2 linked regions of the Anolis sagrei genome follow. The protein of the gene in region 2 binds, or shares a complex with, the protein of the main gene of each other region. Links are inferred from orthologs where the notes say so. Each region holds a gene or a part of one and is shown on either strand. Other genes may lie near its edges.

The links.
Region 1: the proteins of AP2M1 (region 2) and P2RX4 are in contact, whole or in part, in a crystal structure (PDB 2BP5), measured with the Rattus norvegicus proteins. The link is inferred for Anolis sagrei from reciprocal best matches to the Homo sapiens genes AP2M1 and P2RX4. Residues at the interface, in NP_446289.1 of Rattus norvegicus: Phe174, Leu175, Asp176, Lys203, Asn217, Leu316, Ala317, Gln318, Lys319, Glu391, Val392, Pro393, Lys400, Val401, Arg402, Tyr403, Leu404, Ile419, Lys420, Trp421, Val422, Arg423, Tyr424, Ile425; in NP_113782.2 of Rattus norvegicus: Val375, Glu376, Asp377, Tyr378, Glu379, Gln380, Gly381, Leu382, Ser383, Gly384.

The regions. Positions count from the first base shown.
Region 1 is NC_090034.1:42,603,720-42,611,983, reverse strand, and holds the start of P2RX4 (P2X purinoceptor 4), read right to left. Parts: upstream 3,279-8,264; 5' UTR 3,139-3,278; coding exon 2,972-3,138; intron 2,579-2,971; exon of another isoform or gene 2,377-2,578; coding exon of another isoform or gene 2,231-2,376; intron 1-2,230. UniProt on the Homo sapiens protein: ATP-gated nonselective transmembrane cation channel permeable to potassium, sodium and calcium. CTP, but not GTP or UTP, functions as a weak affinity agonist for P2RX4.
Region 2 is NC_090023.1:264,556,480-264,565,392, forward strand, and holds the start of AP2M1 (AP-2 complex subunit mu), read right to left. Parts: upstream 3,544-8,913; 5' UTR 3,442-3,543; intron 1-3,441.

The DNA of each region.
Region 1 (8,264 bases), on a different chromosome or scaffold from region 2:
CAGCACACAACACAAGGTTTTGCATAAATCGAACACACAAGACATACACCCATTGGCAAATCTATGGAAGGGGTTTCATATATTGTCTACACTGTAGAATGAATGCAGTTTGATACCACTTTGACCGCCATGGCTTGTTGTTACGGAATCCTTGCTATTAAACTAGATACAACAAATCTCTGACTGGAAAATATTCACATACTCTGGTTTTGTTGGCTTAGTTAACATCATAGGCAACATAATTAATTTTAATTCAATACCAATTGAACCTGGGTGTGTGTGTAAATTGAGGTTCCTGTTTTTATACTTGATATAATTTAATGTTGATTTTAGGTTATATGTTACAATTTGATGTTATATGTGGGTTTTTGGCATATGTTGATTTATTTTCATATACGTTGATCTATTTTGGGGTTTGGATGCTTTGTATTGTATTTGAATTTATTGTCTGTACCAGGCATTGAATGTTTGCCTTTTTGGCATGGAATAACCTGGAATAGCCTTGCAGCCTCAGAGCCTGACTGCTGTTGCCTGGGGGAATCCTTTCGTGGGAGATGTTAGCTGGCCCTGATAGTTTCCTGTCTGGAATCCCCTTGTTTTCTGAGTGTTGTTCTTTATTTACCGTACTGATTTTAGAGTTTCTAAATACTGATAGTCAGATTTTGTTCATGTTCATGGTCCCCTCCTTTCTGTTGAAATTGTCCACATGCTTATTGTGGATTTCAGTGGCTTCTCTGCATATTCTGACATGGTGGTTGTCAAAGTGGTCCAGCATTTCTGTGTTCTCAATCAATATGCTGTATCCAGGTTGGTTCATCAAGTACTCCGCTATGGCTGACTTCTCTGGTTGGATTAGTCTACAGTGCCTTTCATGTTCCTTGATTCGTGTCTGGTTTGATGGTCCTCCCAACCAAGAATTCCCCCAGGCAGGAAGCAGCCAGCCTTTGAAGCTGCCAGGCTACTCAATGCTAATCCAGCTGGCCAATGGCAACATTCCCACTTACCTCCAACAGACAAGAGTTCTTTCTCCCACCCTGGACATTATTTCACAGGTATCTGTATAAACACCAATTGCCTAGTTTCCGGCAGACCTCACAAAACAGGGAATTCCAGACTCAAAAAACAGCGAATTCCAGGCAGGAAACAATCAGGGCCAGCTAACACCTCCCAACAAAGGATTCCCCCAGGCAGGAAGCAACCAAGCTTTGAAGCTGCAAGGATACACAATACCAGGCCCGTAGCCAGGATTTCGATTTGGGGGGGAGGGGGGAGGGCTGAGTCCGAGTTAAAGAGGGTCTACCCTAGAAAACCTTTTGTATCGTTACCCCAATACCCCCATGCATATGGGATATATTGAGTATGGTGATCTGATCATGATATGAATAAACATAACAGTTTAAATAATGCACCAGTAGGCCTTTTCGCGAACCACCATGAGAATTTGGGGGGGGGGGGCTGAAGCCCCCCAAGCCTGCACAATACTAATCAAGCTGGCCGATTGCAACATTCACACTTGCCTCCAACAGACAAGAGTTCTTTCTCCCACTCTAGACAGTATTTTCAGAGATATATAAACCCCACTTGCCTAGTTTCCAACAGACCTCACAACCTCTGAGGATGCCTGCCATAGATGTGGCTGAAACGTCAGGAGAGAATGCTTCTGGAACATAGCCAGACAGCCCAGAAAACTCCCATCAACCCAGGGATTCCAGCCATGAAAGCCTTCGACAACACATTCTATATTACAGTCCAGTTGGAAATGGCTTCTACAAGAAGGGAGATTCCATCTGAACATGAGGAAGCACTTCCTGATTGTGAGAGCTGTTCAGCAGTGGAACTCTCTGCCCCGGAGTGTGGTAGAGGCTCCTTCTTTGGAAACTTTTAAACAGAGGCTGGATGGCCATCTGTCGGGGGTGCTTTGAATGCAATTGTCCTGCTTCTTGGCAGGGGGTTGGACTGGATGGCCCTTGGTGGCCTATGCAGCCTCTGCTTTAAAAAAAACCCAACTCCATCACTTTTCCAGAGTTGGAAGGGACCCCCAAGGGTCATCCAGTCCAACCCCATTCTATCCGGAAGGCACAATCCAAACCTTCCCAAGAGATGGCCAGCCAGCTTCTGCTGAAACCCCTCCAGGGAAGGGAAGGAAGAGATTCCCTCCAGCCTTTTCCTCTTCGAGAAGACCCACATAGTCCAAGCCGGGGAGAAAAAGTCCTCGTTGCCCAAGGCTCACCCGATGACATAGGCCAGGATGGCGAGCTGGACCAGGCGGTTCATGAGGCCGACTTTACGGCTCCGGATCAAGACGATGCGGGGGGTGTCGTACTCGAAGAGGAAGCCATAGAGGAACCCGCAGGGCTGGCGGTCCGGAGCGGCCATGGCTGAAGCCGGAGTCCAAGCGGAGTCCAGGCAAAGAGCTCGCGCTCAGCGAGGCCACCGCAGCTGTTTCCGGCTTGGCTCCCACATGTTGCAAGAAGGCGCGGCGTCAGCAGGGCCAAAGGAGAGGGAAATACAAGTTTTCAAACTATCCCAGGGAACTTTAGAGAATGGGCCGGACTTGGCCAGTCTCCTCCCTCCAAGGAAAGGCTTCGGGGGAAACCTTTCCTGTTCCCAACAAAGCTGGAGGCGTTTGGCTCGGGGAGGGAGGAGGGACTCTTTTGGCAGCCTGTTCAAGAGCAGCGGAGGGCCATCTGTCGGGAGGGCTTTGATTGGGTCACGGGGTTTGGGCTCCATGAGCCCTTTCCAACTCTAAGGTGATGTGATTCTATAGAGAAGGCCAGCTTCAAAGCCTGGGGGATCCTTTGGTGTTAGCTGACCCTGATTGTTTCTTGTCTGGAATTCCCCCATTTTTTAGTGTTGTTCTTTATTTACTGTCCTGATCTTAGAGCTTTTTTTAAATGCTGCTAGCCAGATTGTGTTCCCTTTCCATGTTTTCTTCCTTTCTGTTGAAATTATCCACATGCCCAAGGCTCACCCGATGACATAGGCCAGGATGGCGAGCTGGACCAGGCGGACTTTGAGATCTTCCGGGGAGGCTCTGCTCTCGATCCCGCCTGCTTCACAGGCACGGCTGGCGGGGACGAGAGATAGGGCCTTCTCGGTGGTGGCTCCTCGGCTGTGGAACACCCTCCCCGTGGACATCAGACTAGCTCCCTCCCTGCTGATATTCCGCAGGAAATTAAAGACCTGGCTGTTTAAGAAGGCGTTTGAACAAGAAGTGCAATGATTGGTAATTGACCATAGGAATGAACAACGGAAATTGATACTGGATTGTGGTTTTGGCGATGAGACGACACGGAATGGCTTTTGTAGTAATGATGTTTTTGATGAGGATGTTTTCTGATAATGTTGAATTGTGGATTATTTTATACTGTGTCTTATATTTTGCACCTTGTTTTTTGCTATGTTGTACACCGCAGTGAGTCGCCCCTGGGCTGAGAACTGCAGTATATAAGCGAAGTAAATAAATAAATAAATAAATAAATTTCAATGGCTTCTCTGTGTAGCCTGACATCTTAGAGCTACACAGCTCTAAGTGGTTGTGTAGCTGACATGGTGGTTGTCAGAGCGGTCGGCCATTTCTGTGTTCTCCAATAATATGCTGTGTCCCAGTTGTTTCATTAGTTGTTCTGCTATGAATTGTTAAAGGCTTTCATGGCCGGAGTCACTGGGTTGTTGTAGGTTTTTTCAGGCTATATGGCCATGTTCTAGAGGCATTCTCTCCTGACGTTTCGCCTGCATCTATGGCAAGCAGCCTTACTACTTCTGAGGATGCTTGCCATAGATGCAGGCAAAACGTCAGGAGAGAATGCCTCTAGAACATGGCCATATAGCCAGAAAAAAACTGTTCTGCTATGGATGTCTTCTCTGGTTGAATTAGTCTGCAGTGCCTTTCATGTTCCTTGATTCGTCTTTGGGCAATGCTGTTTGGTGGTCTCTATGTAGACTTGTCCACAGCTGCATGATATGTGGTAGACTCCTGCAGAGGTGAGAGGATCCACAGACATATAAACCTCACTTGCCTAGTTTGCAACAGACCTCAGAACCTCTGAAGATGCCCGCCACAGATGTGGGCAAAACATCAGGCAAGAATGCTTCTGGAACCTGGCCATACAGCCTGGAAAACTAACAACCCAGTTTCTGTTCCTGGTTTGAAAGTGTTAATTCCTGTTTAATTGTACAATCCTTACTTGGAAAGTAGTTGTTCAAATCCAGAAACTTTGTTTTTTGGGGCAGCTACAAATTAGGTTGAATTGGTTGAGATTATATCAGATACTAGCTTGCCACACGTTGCTGTGGCCCAGTCTGGTGATCTGGAAAGTAATGAGAAAGTGTTGGTTTCTAATATATGTAATTTTTTTATGCTTGTGAGTAAACAGTATTTCTTGCTGATCTTTGTCAGTGTTGATGTGGAGATTGTCTGGTTTGCCTACTCTGGAACATGCAACATGCAAATTTAGGGGTCCCTTTCAAATCTATGAGACTATATCTCTGTGTGTGTGAATCATATCTCTCTATATCTATGGCTGGATGGCTCTTTGTCAGGAGGGCTTTGATTACGTTTTCTTGCCCTGATGAAGGGAGTTGGACTGGATGGCCTTAAGTATTTTCTGTTGGTCATGGAGGTTCTGTGTGGGAAGTTTGCCCCAATTCTGTTGTTCATGGGGTTCAGAATGCTCTTTGATTGTAGGTGAACTATATATCCCAGTAACTACAACTCCCAAATGTCAAGGTCTATTTTCCCCAAACTCCATATTTGGGCATATGGAATATTTGTGCCAAGTTTGGCCCAGATCCATCATTGTTTGAGTCCACAGTGCTCTCTGGATGTAGGTGAACTACAACTCCCAAACTCAAGGTCAATGCCCACCAAACCCTTTTAGTGTTTTCTGTTGGTCATGGGAGTCCTGTATGCCATGTTTGGTTCAATTCCATCATTAGTGGAGTTCAGAATGCTCATTGATTGTAGGTTAACTATAAATCCCAGCAACTGCAACTCCCAAATGACAGAATCAACTTTTTTGAGTGATGGTCACTCCTTGGGTTAGTAGGTGTCCTGTGGCCAAATTTGGTGGCAATTCGTCAAGTGGTTTTTGATTTATGTTAATCCCACAAACAAACATTACATTTTTATTTATATAGATTAATTGAAAAACCAGAGCAAAATGTGCTGTAGGATGTCCCTCCCACAAAAACAATTTGTTTGCAGTTTGGTAAACTTTCCCCATGTTTTTATGATAGAACTAATTCAATTCAGAATACTACATCCTAAACAAAAAAAATACAAACTACAATCAATCTATGTTATTGAATTGAAGGGCTTTACATTCTCTGGTGGATATATTCTCTCAGTTTTCGTTTGGGATTTTCTTTTTATCAATAATGCGTATTTGTTCTGGATTGATAAATCGACTTTAAGGCAGCCCTTCAGAGATTGATGAACTGCTGTTCCCACTGGTCTGGTTGGCTGGGGCCAATGGGGAATGGAGTTCAACAACAAATTGGGATGCCACTCCCATCATCATCAGTTTACATAACCAGTGCTGGGTGATCATGACAGTCGTGATCAACATTGAGAAGCTCAAAAAAGGATAGAATACATATGTTTTAGAATGTAGACATGTAGAACATTTGTTGCTTCAACAGTATATTTTTACATGAAATGTTTATTATAAGAAAACATCAGTATAATATATAATATATATACACGCACATACATACAGCACAAATTTAAATGCAATACAAAATGAATGGCAGTAGTATCCTGCAATATATAATGCTGTAAATCGGTGTAGTAATTTTAGCATTAGCTTGCAATTCACCATTTGTTTAGGTGCTTCTGACAAAAGAATCATTTGGAGCAATGATGCAACAAGTCAGTAATACATACAGGTCACCTGGTTAGTAAAAAAAATAAATTAACATCATGAGTAGCTTGATTAGCGTGTGTGTGTGTGTGTGTGTGTGTGTATATATATATATATATATATATATATATATACACACATATACATATACATATACATATACATACACACACAGTAGAGTCTTGTTTATCAACCTTCGCTCATCCAATGTTCTGTATTATCCAACGCAGTCTGACTCCTGCCCGGAGCCGTTTCAATACATTGTGATGTTTTGGTGTTAAATTCATAAATACAATAATTACTACATAACGTTACCGTGTATTGAACTGCTTTTTCTGTCGATTTGTTATAAAACATGATGTTTTGGTGTTTAATTTGTAAAATCATAATGTAATTTGACGTTTAATAGGCTTTTCCTTCATCCCTCCATTTTATCCAACATTTTCGCTTATCCAACGTTCTGCCGGCCCATTTATGTTGGATAAGCAAGACTCTACTGTATATGTCACATACATACATACATACATATTAGTAAAAAAATATTGAGGACTAGCCTAATTTTTAATACACATATTATGAAGGTTCTGCTAGCAGTACAGCAAAAGGTTATGCTTTATATCCACTCCCAAACAGAGGTTTGAAGTGAAGAAATGTGCCTTGAAGGTTATTTGATTAATTTATACACCTTGCATTACTTACACTGGGAATGTTAAATCTTTGGTAGGCATTTTTCTTCTCACCCGTCTCTTGCTCTAACTGAGAAAACAGCAGGGATTAGTGTGGACCAATCGGTTCTGCCAACTGAGGACTGCTCTCTGTCCCACCTCCATTGCTGCCAGTTACAACTCCAGATCCAAAAACAAAAAGGAGTGAGGAGTATCTCCTATAAGAAGGATAAGATTCAGGTGGCCTCACAGGTGTTGTGGGGCTGCAGCTCCCATTATCTCTTCACCACTGGCTGGGGAGGGATGATGGAAACTGTATTCCACCCGAGAAAAGGAGCACCTACAAATCCTCAATTTACTGTCATGGAAACCTGACCCTATGGAGAACAAGAGATGGAACACCCTTGAAAGCTGCCTCAAAGAGACTTCAATGGAGTCTTGGACAGCAAATTAGAAAGGAATACTTTAACAAAACATAACAAAGAAAAAAGCTGGAGAATTACCATTGTCATTTACTAACCTGATGAATGAATTCAATCTACAAAACACATGGAGAAGTAGAAACTCAAAAGAAAGAGACTACACTTTCTATTCAGACCGCCATCAAACATGGTCAAGAATAGACATGGTCTGGACAACAAACATCAAGATCCAAAAGATAAAAATTCTTCCAAGAACAAACTCAGACCAGTGCCCCTTAGAATTCAAATGGAAGACAGGAGAATATACAAGGAAATGGAGATTAAATAATGACTTCCTGAGATCTGAGGAAGATATAAAAAAGGAATAAAGATATCTTATGAGAATTCTTTGAACTAAATAAAACTGAAAATCTTTCTTACCAAACGATCTAGGACACAAGTAAAGCCGTGATGCGGGGACATCTAATTCAACAAAATGCAAGAAAAAACAAAGCAAGAAATAGAGAATCTCTTCAAGTAATGGCTACAATATCGGAAATAGAAAAAGATCTGACGAAAAACCTCCAAAAACAGAAATTGAGATTTTACAAAAACAAAGGAATTAGAAATGGAACAACTTTCAAAGAAAATGAAATTTGATGAACAGCAATATTTCCAAAATGCAAACAAATGTGGAAAATGGTTATTCAGAAAAATAAGGACAAAAAGACCAAAACAACACATAACAAAAATCATCTCAGAAGGGAAAATATAGAATAAGAAAATAAAATACAGTTATGCATTTGATCTATAAGAAAATTGGTTAAAAATGATGTATAGGTGGTACATTACACCTCAGAAACTGGCTAAATGTTATCCAAAAGACAGATGTTGGAAGTGCAAAGACCAAACAGGCTCATTTTTTCACATGTGGTGGACATGTAAAATTGCTAAGTCATATTGGAAAAACATACACAAAAAATTTAGAAAAGATATTAGATATAAAAATAGAATTAAAACCAGAATATTTCCTATTAGGAATAACTGACTTTGAAATAGAACCTAATAAGGATAAACTCTTTAACTATCTGCCAGATAGCGGCCAGAATAAACTATGCAAGAAAAGAGAACAAAAGAGATCCCAACACAAGAACAACGGCTAATGAAAATTACAGATATTATGAACATGGACAAATTAACCCAATTGATGAGCAAAGCAGAATTTGAAAATATCAAAAACAGACTGGACACCGGTAAAGAATTTTATAATGCAAGAAAACCTGAAATGGATAATAGATATAAGATAAAAACAAATACCCAATGCTCTTAAGAAA
Region 2 (8,913 bases):
CCACCAGATCTACTATTGCGGACAAGAGGAACATCGAAGAAATGGAGTAGCCTTCATAATTAATAAGAAATTCGCTAAAGCAGTGCTTGGATACAACCCAAAAAATGACAGAATGATCTCAATTCGAGTGCAAGGAAAGCCTTTCAACATTACAGTGATCCAAATATACGCCCCAACCACAGCTGCTGAAGAAGCAGAAGTAGATCAGTTCTATGAGGATCTGCAGGACCTACTGGATAATACACCAAAAAGAGACATTATTTTCATTACAGGAGACTGGAATGCCAAGGTGGGAAGTCAAATGACAACAGGGATCACAGGCAAGTATGGTCTGGGAGAACAAAACGAAGCGGGACGCAGGCTGATAGAATTTTGCCAGGAAAACTCGCTGTGTATAACGAATACTCTCTTCCAACAACCTAAAAGGCGGCTTTACACATGGACCTCACCAGACGGTCAACACAGAAATCAGATTGACTACATCCTTTGCAGCCAAAGGTGGCGGACATCCATCCAGTCGGTGAAAACAAGACCTGGGGCTGACTGTAGCTCAGATCACGAACTTCTTATTGCCCAATCTATCTATCTATCTATATATATAATAAAGAAGAGTGTTTGTTTGTATAGGAATTGTGGAGGGCGGTGTATGTGCCAGCGTTCTGATTGGCTGCCGCTGTGGTGCTATTTGCATATGGTCTCTGATTGGCCAGCTTCAATAGGACCCCCTGGTGGAGAAGAGGGTTCATGGCAGAAACGGGGCATGACAGAAGGAAATTTGCATATGCTCTCTGATTGGCCAGCCTCAAATCCAACATTCTGAGATGAGAAAGAGAGGAAAGGAAAGGCCAAAGGGGGCTGGGTCAGAACACTCCCAATACAGACCGAAATAGGCACACAAAGCCCCCATCACCCACTCTACATCCTACTGCAGTTTGGAGGAGGATGAACCATGGATGATGGGACTTGCAGTACCACCACTCACATTCTGAGACCACTGTTAACCTTATCCAATGACTGATCAGGACCAAACTTCGCACAGAGACCTCTCATGACCCACTGTACGTCCTGGTGTGGTTTGGCCGGGGATGGACCATGGATTATGGGACTTGCAGTACCATTGCTCAATTCTTCATACCACTGCAACCCTCATCCAATTACCAATAAATACCAAACTTGGCACACTGAGTCTCCATGGTGCACTCTACATCCAGGTGCAGTTTGAAGGAGGATGCACCATGGGCGATGGGACTTGCAATACCTGCACTCCCTTCCTAAGACCATTATAACTGCCAACAATGATGGATCAGGACCACAATTTACACAGAGAGCCTGCATAACTCACTCTACATCCTGGTGCGGTTTGGAAGAATTTGACAATGGATGATGGGACTTGCAGTCACCTCACTCACTTCCTGAGACCACCGAGACCCTCGCCAATGACTCATCAAGACTAAACTTGGCACATGGAGCTTCAATGACCCACTCTACATCCTGGAGCAGTTTGGAGGACGACAGACCATGGATGATGGGACTTCAAGTACCTCCACTACCCAAGACTGCTGCAAAACTCATCTAATGACCAATCAAGACCAACGTTGGCACACAGAGCCCCCATGACCCACTCTACATCCTGCTGCAGTTTTGGAGAAGGGTGGACCATGGATGATGGAACTTCCAATACCTTCACTCACATTCTGAGACCTCTGCAAACCTCTTCCAATGACGGATCAAGACCAAACTTGGTACATAGACCTCTCATGACCTACTTTACGACCTGGTGTTCTTTGGAAAAATTTGGGGATGGATGATGGGACTTGCAGTACCTTTGCTCACTTCCTGAGACCACTGAGACCCTCGCCAATGACTAATCAAGACTAAATTTGGCACATGGAGCTCCAATGACCCACTCTACATCCTGCTGCAGTTTGGAGGAGGACAGACCATGGATGATGGGACTTCAAGTACCTCCACTCCCTTCCAAAGATTGCTGCAACCCTCTTCTAATGACCAATCAAGACCACACTTGGCACACAGAGCCCCCATGATCCACTCTACATCCTGCTGCAGTTTGAAAGGGGATGGACTTTGGATGATGGGACTTGCAGTACCTTCACTCACTTACTGACACCACTGCCACCCTCATCTAATGACTGATAAAGACCAAACTTGGCACACAGAGCCCCCATGACCCACTCTATATCCTGCTGCTGTTTGTAGGAGGATGGCCCATGGATGATGGGACTTTGAAGTACCTTCACTCACTTCCTGAAAATAATGCTGCCATTATCCAAAGACCAATAAAGACCAAACTTGGCATACAGAACCGCCATTACCCACTTTCTCTAATAACCCGGGCAACGCCGGGTCCCCAAGCTAGTATATATATATAGAGAGAGAGAGAGAGAGTAATATAAATATATAAAATAATACATGAGTTTGTTAATTTGTCCTATGCATTGAGACTTTTAGGGACACCCTTGAAAGTGTGTATGTAAGTGTGTGTGTGTGTGTGTGTATGTCTGTGTGTATATATATATACATATATGTGCTGTAATATAAATATATAAAATAATACATGACTTTGTTAATTTGTACTATGCATTGAGACTTTTAGGGACACCCTTGAAAGTGTGTATGTGTGTGTGTTTGTTTGTGTGTGTATATTTATGTGTGTGTGTGTGTGTGTGTGTGTGTATATATATATATATATACACACACACACACACACACACACACACACACATACACACATTGTAATATAAATATATAAAATAATACATGACTTTGTTAGTTTGTCCTATGCATGGAGACTTTTAGGGACACCCTTGAAAGTGTGTATGTGTGTGTGTGTGTATATATGTATGTATATCTGTGTGTATATACACACATACACACACACTGAAATATAAATATATAAAATAATACACGAGTTTGTTAATTTGTCCTATGCATTGAGACTTTTAGGGACACCCTTGAAAATGTGTATGTGTGTGTGTTTGTGTGTATATTTATGTATGTACACACACACATACACAAACACTGAAATATAAATATATAATAATACATGAGTTTGTTAATTTGTCCTATGCTTTGAGTCTTTTAGGGACACCCTTGAAAGTGTGTGTGTGTGTATGTATGTATGTATGTATATGTGTGTGTATACACACACACACACTGTAATATAAATATATAAAATAATACATGACTTTGTTAATTTGTCCTATGCATTGAGACTTTTAGGGACACCCTTGAAAGTGTGTATGTGTGTGTGTGTGTTTGTGTGTGCATATGTATATGTGTGTGTGTGTTGGGGATGGGCCTCAGTCTGGGCTTGGCCTCAGGAAGAGGCGCTATTCAACAAGCCCTTTGCTCCCCGAGTTGGGGGAGGCCTCTAAAGGCGCAGGAGAAACAGAGAAAGGGTTAGAGTAAGAGAGGGCTCACCTGCTTCGGCCTCCCGCCTCTCCTTCTCCTCCTTCTTCTTCTTCACCAACGGCTAAAATGGCGGCCTCTCCCCCCTCCGCTATAACTGCAGCGGCGCCGCCAGTACGCATGCGCTGCCCGAGAGAGCGAGAGAAGCCTGCGAAAAGGGCAGAGACTTCTTGACCCGGCATGCAACGCGGCAGAGGGAGGAATCACTCGCAAGCTTGAGCTTCGCGCGGTGGCCGACGGGGCGCGTAGTTTTTTTGGTCTTTTGCAGTTCTATCTTATCATAAGGCTCTCCTTTGGCCCAGCTTTTCCCGTTTGAACTGGGAATCCTGGGATGTGTAAACTTGGAGAGAGCAGAGATGTCCCCTTTGGATCCTCAGTGCCTCACACTAAATTGCCATGGGTAGCTTGCAATATAGTTTATACAACTTATAATATAGTACAATATATTATATAATACCAATAGTATTGATATAATGTATTATATATGTATATTGTGGTATAATAATACAGTACAATATAATAATATATAATATAATAATAATATATAATAATATAATAATTGTATATTATATATTACATGTAATATTAGTAATAATATTGCCTTATAGTGCTATAGTACAATATCGTGATATCATATATATATATATATATATATGTATATGTATATGTATATATGGTATAATAATACAGTACAATATAATAATATATGATATAATAATTGTATATTATATATTGCATGTAATATTACTAATAATATTGCTGTATTGTGGTGTAGTACAATATAGTAATTCAATATATATAATATTATATAGTTGTTGTTGTTCATTCATTCAGTCGTCTCCGACTCTTCGTGACCTCATGGACCAGCCCACGCCAGAGCTCCCTGTCAGCCGTCACCACCCCAAGCTCCTTCAAGGTCAGTCCAGTCACTTCAAGGATGCCATCCATCCATCTTGCCCTTGGTCGGCCCCTCTTCCTTTTGCCTTCCACTTTCCCCAGCATAATTGTCTTCTCTAGGCTTTGCTGTCTCCTCATGATGTGGCCAAAGGACTTCCACTTTGTCTCTAGTATCTTTCCCTCCAGTGAGCAGCCGGGCTTTATTTCCTGGAGGATGGACTGGTTGGATCTTCTCGCAGTCCAAGGCACTCTCAGAACTTTCCTCCAACACCACAGCTCAAAAGCATCTCTCTTCCTTCGCTCAGCCTTCTCTAAGGTCCAGCTCTCACATCCGTAGGCGACTACAGGGAATACCATGGCTTTGACTAGGCAATGGATCTTTGTTGCCAGTGTGATGTCTCTACTCTTTACTATTTTATCAAGATTGGACATTGCTCTCCTCCCAAGAAGGAAGCGTCTTCTGATTTCCTGGCCAGTCTGCATCTGCAGTAATCTTTGCCCCTAGAAATACAAAGTCTGTCACGGCCTCCACATTTTATTTTCCAGTTGTCAATCATTCTTGTTGCCATAATCTTGGTTTTTTTATGTTTAGCTGCAACCCGGCTTTTGCGCTTTCTTCTTTCACCTTGATTAGAAGGCTCCTCAGCTCCTCCTCGCTTTCGGCCATCAGAGTGGTGTCATCTGCATATCTGAGGTTGTTAATGTTTCTTCCAGCAATTTTCACCCCAGCTTTGCATTCCTCAAGCCCCACACATCTTCGCATGATGTGTTCTGCATGCAAGTTAAAAAGGTTGGGTGAGAGGATGCAGCCTTGCCGTACGCCTTTCCCAATCTTGAACCAGTCTGTTGTTCCGTGGTCAGTTCTGACTGTTGCTCCTTGGTCCTTGTACAGATTCCTCAGGAGAGAGGGAAGGTGCCTTGGGATGCCCATCCCACCAAGAACTTGCCACAATTTATTATGATCCACACAGTCAAAGGCTTTAGAATAGTCAATGAAGCAGAAATAGATGTTTTTCTGAAACTCCCTGCCTTTCTCCATTCTCCAGCATCCAGATATTGGCAATCTGGTCTCTTGTTCCTCTGCCTTTTCTAAACCCAGCTTGAACATCTGGCAACTCTCGCTCCATGTATTGCTGGAGTCTTCCTTGCAGGATCTTGAGCATTACCTTACTGGCATGAAAAATAAGGGCCACTGTACGGAAGTTTGAGCAGTCTTTCGCATTTCTCTTTTTTGGTATGGGGATATAAATTGCCAACTTTGTTTCTTATCATACCAATTTTTACCTGAAATTTACCTCCAATGTTTCTAATTTTCTGGAAGAGGTTTATATATATAATACATTACTTCAATATTATAGGGAGCATACAACACCCCTATTAAAACAGCCTCATTGGCTGCCAATAAGTTGCCGAGTCAAATTCAAGGTGCAGGTTATGACCTATAAAGCCCTAAACAGTTCGGGCCCCGCCTATCTACGCGATCGCATCTCCCTCTACAAACCAGCGCAAACTCAAAGATCCACAGGGGAGGTCCTTCTCTCGCTCCCACCACCATCATTAACACAGTTGGTGGGGACGAGAGAGAAGGCCTTCTCGGTGGTGGCCCCCCACCTCTGGAACCTCCTCCCCAGAGAAATAAGACAGGCCCCATCCCTCTCCTCTTTTTTTAAGAACTTGAGACTTGGTGGTTTCACCAGGCCTTTGAGAATTACTAGCATGAACTCCAGCCCCTGGCCACTAGCTAGAATATGCCCCTTCTCCTCACCTATTACCCCGGTCAGTTCTCCAATACGCTCAGGAAATGGCTCCACTATTACTGTTGCTGGGACAGGTTATTGCACTTTACCCATTCCCCTGGCCCCCTATATCTTGCACTAGCCTCGCCCGGCTATATGCTTAGGCCCTTTCTGAAATTCCGGCCCAAACAGCTAACCTTGGCATGAAGAATAAGGGGAACTGGTTTTATTGTATACTAGCTGCTCCTGCCACACGTTGCTGTGGCCCAGTCTGTGTATATGTGTTTTTTGTGTGTACATGTGTGTGTATATATTTGTGGTTTTGCCCATGCGTTGTAATATTTTTTATTTATTTATTGGTTTTTTAAGTTTCTTCAGCTGTTTTTCAGTTTTTTTATGAGTAATGGTCACTGGTTTTTAAACTTTAATTACATTTGGCCGCAGATTTTAAATGTGCACTGTACTTTGTTTAATGTGTATGCTATTTGTGTATGAAATTTATTTTAATTGCCTTGTATTGTGTCTGTTATTGCTTGTATTGATGTATTGCGGGCTCGGGCTCATGTAAGCCGCACCGAGTCCCATGGGGAGATGGTAGCAGGGTATAAATAAAGATTATTATTATTATTATTATTATTATTATTATTATTATTATTGGTCTGATAGTTGTATTGTGTCCAAATTTGGTGTCAATTCGTCAAGTGGTTTTTGAGTTATGTTAATCCCACAAACGAACATTACATTTTTATTTATATAGATAGATGTATTGTACTGATAATTTTACACTTATGTTTTGTTTACTCTGTATGTTTGTGTGTTTTTGTGATTGGAAACCGCACTGAATCCCCTAGGAGGGAGAGAGAGTGGTATATAAATAAAGTTTTATTATTATATATTATTATATAACGACTAAAATAAGCCACACCGAGACCACATGGAGTCCAATAAAACTATTTTTATAAATAAAAAAACACATAGGATGGTTTCAATTTATATAAAATTTGGAAGGGGGGAGAATATGTGTGACACAGGAAGATAGCACCAAAGGAGGAGGAAGGAAACGGAAGGAGGAACAGGGCAAAAGTGTAGTAGTACCTGGTCAAGAGAGAGGAGAAAACAATGTCGCATCCAGGAAAACATAACAGGGATGGCTAAAGTGGCAGCAAAACAGCCTCGTCTTTATATAGCAGGCATGAGCAAAGTCCTAGTCCGACATTCAAGCCAATCAAACGTGTTGAGAATTATATCGAGGGAAGATATCTCATTTCCTGCAAGGCTCCTGTTTGTGCTTGTGATTTCCACCTGGCAGCATGAATGCCAGAAAGCAATGTTTCTCCCAATCTGATGCCAGAATGTCTGTTCTATGGCAGGACTACAAGTGACAGAGTGTTCCCATAGAAACTGTTTCATCTTCCAGCAGAGCAGCCTGGACTGATCCATCTTTACATACATTTCCTTCAAGCCCTGAATGGGTTATTCTTTAATCCAGAAAAAACATGAGAAGACAACACTGGGAAAAGGGAGGGAAGCAAAGCAGATGCAAGGAGAAAAGAAATGGGAAGAGAGAGATTATCACCTGCGCCCATCCTGCTCTTTTCTCTGGTGTTCTGGGGCTCAGTCACACCTTGAGGACAGCAAGACTATAAGCTTAGTTCCCAAATATGTGGTTTTAAAAGCCTGCATATGATGGATATTCCAGGCCCCTTCCACACAGCTGTCTAAAATCCACATTGAACCGAATTATATGACAGTGTGGACTCTGATAAACCAGTTCAAAGCAGATATTGTGGATTATCTGCCTTGATATTCTGGATTATTTGGCTGTGTGGAAGGGCCCTCCATCAAAGCCCACTAAGCCTCCTATGGCAACTGGCACATATTTGTCTCTGAAGGTGGGATCAGCCTACTTTCAGGACAAACTTGGTCATACAAGCTCTATCTTAAGTGTATGTATTTCATTTATTATTTTTGTTTGTACCCCTTGTTTTCTCTCTAAAAGGTGAGAGAAGTCGCTCTATAAAGTCTCCCCAGTGATAGGAAAACAAAGTGAAATGATCTAAAATTCCCAAATATGTAAGTAAAAGGCGGAATTACACAAAGCACAGCGTAAGAGGTAAAGGTTTCCCCTGACATTAAGTGTAGTCGTGTCCAACCCTGGAACGAGGTGCTCATCTCCATTTCTAAGCCAAAGAGCTAGCGTTGTCCGTAGACACCGCCTAGGTCATGTGGCCAGCATGACTGCATGGAGTGCCATTACCAATAGGCAGTACCTATTGATCTACTCACATTTGAATGTTTTCGAACTGCTAAATTGGCAGAAGCTGGGCCTGACAGCAGGGGCTTACCCTGTTCTCAGGATTTGAACCGCTGACCTTCCGGTCAGCAAGTTCAGCAGTTTAACCAACTGTATCACCAAAAGGTGAGGCACAAGCATAGCCTACCAAAAGGGAAAAGTCTACCAAAAAGTAAAACAGAGGGCCACCTTCAGTAATCCTCCTCACTAGCAGCAGAGTTGTAATAAGGAAGTTTGGTACTGGAGTGAACTGGACACTATTCTAAATACTGAAAAACCATAGATGTATGCACTCCATGGTTATAATAATGGGATTCTGCAAAGGTAACTCCACTGTTTCATTCCGTAAAGCGTGTAGCTTCCACAGATCAAGACAACTTCCATGTTCTTCCTTGGATGCCTCAATCCATATTGTGCTTGACTATCGTTATGATAAAGTCAAGCGTCATCACTCACACAAAAAGGGCCTGGCATTTGCAGAGACTTCCCTGGGTCAAGAGTTCTGCTTTGTTTTGGTGTCAGGGGTGACCTGAGAAACTGCAAGAGAGTGGATGTTTT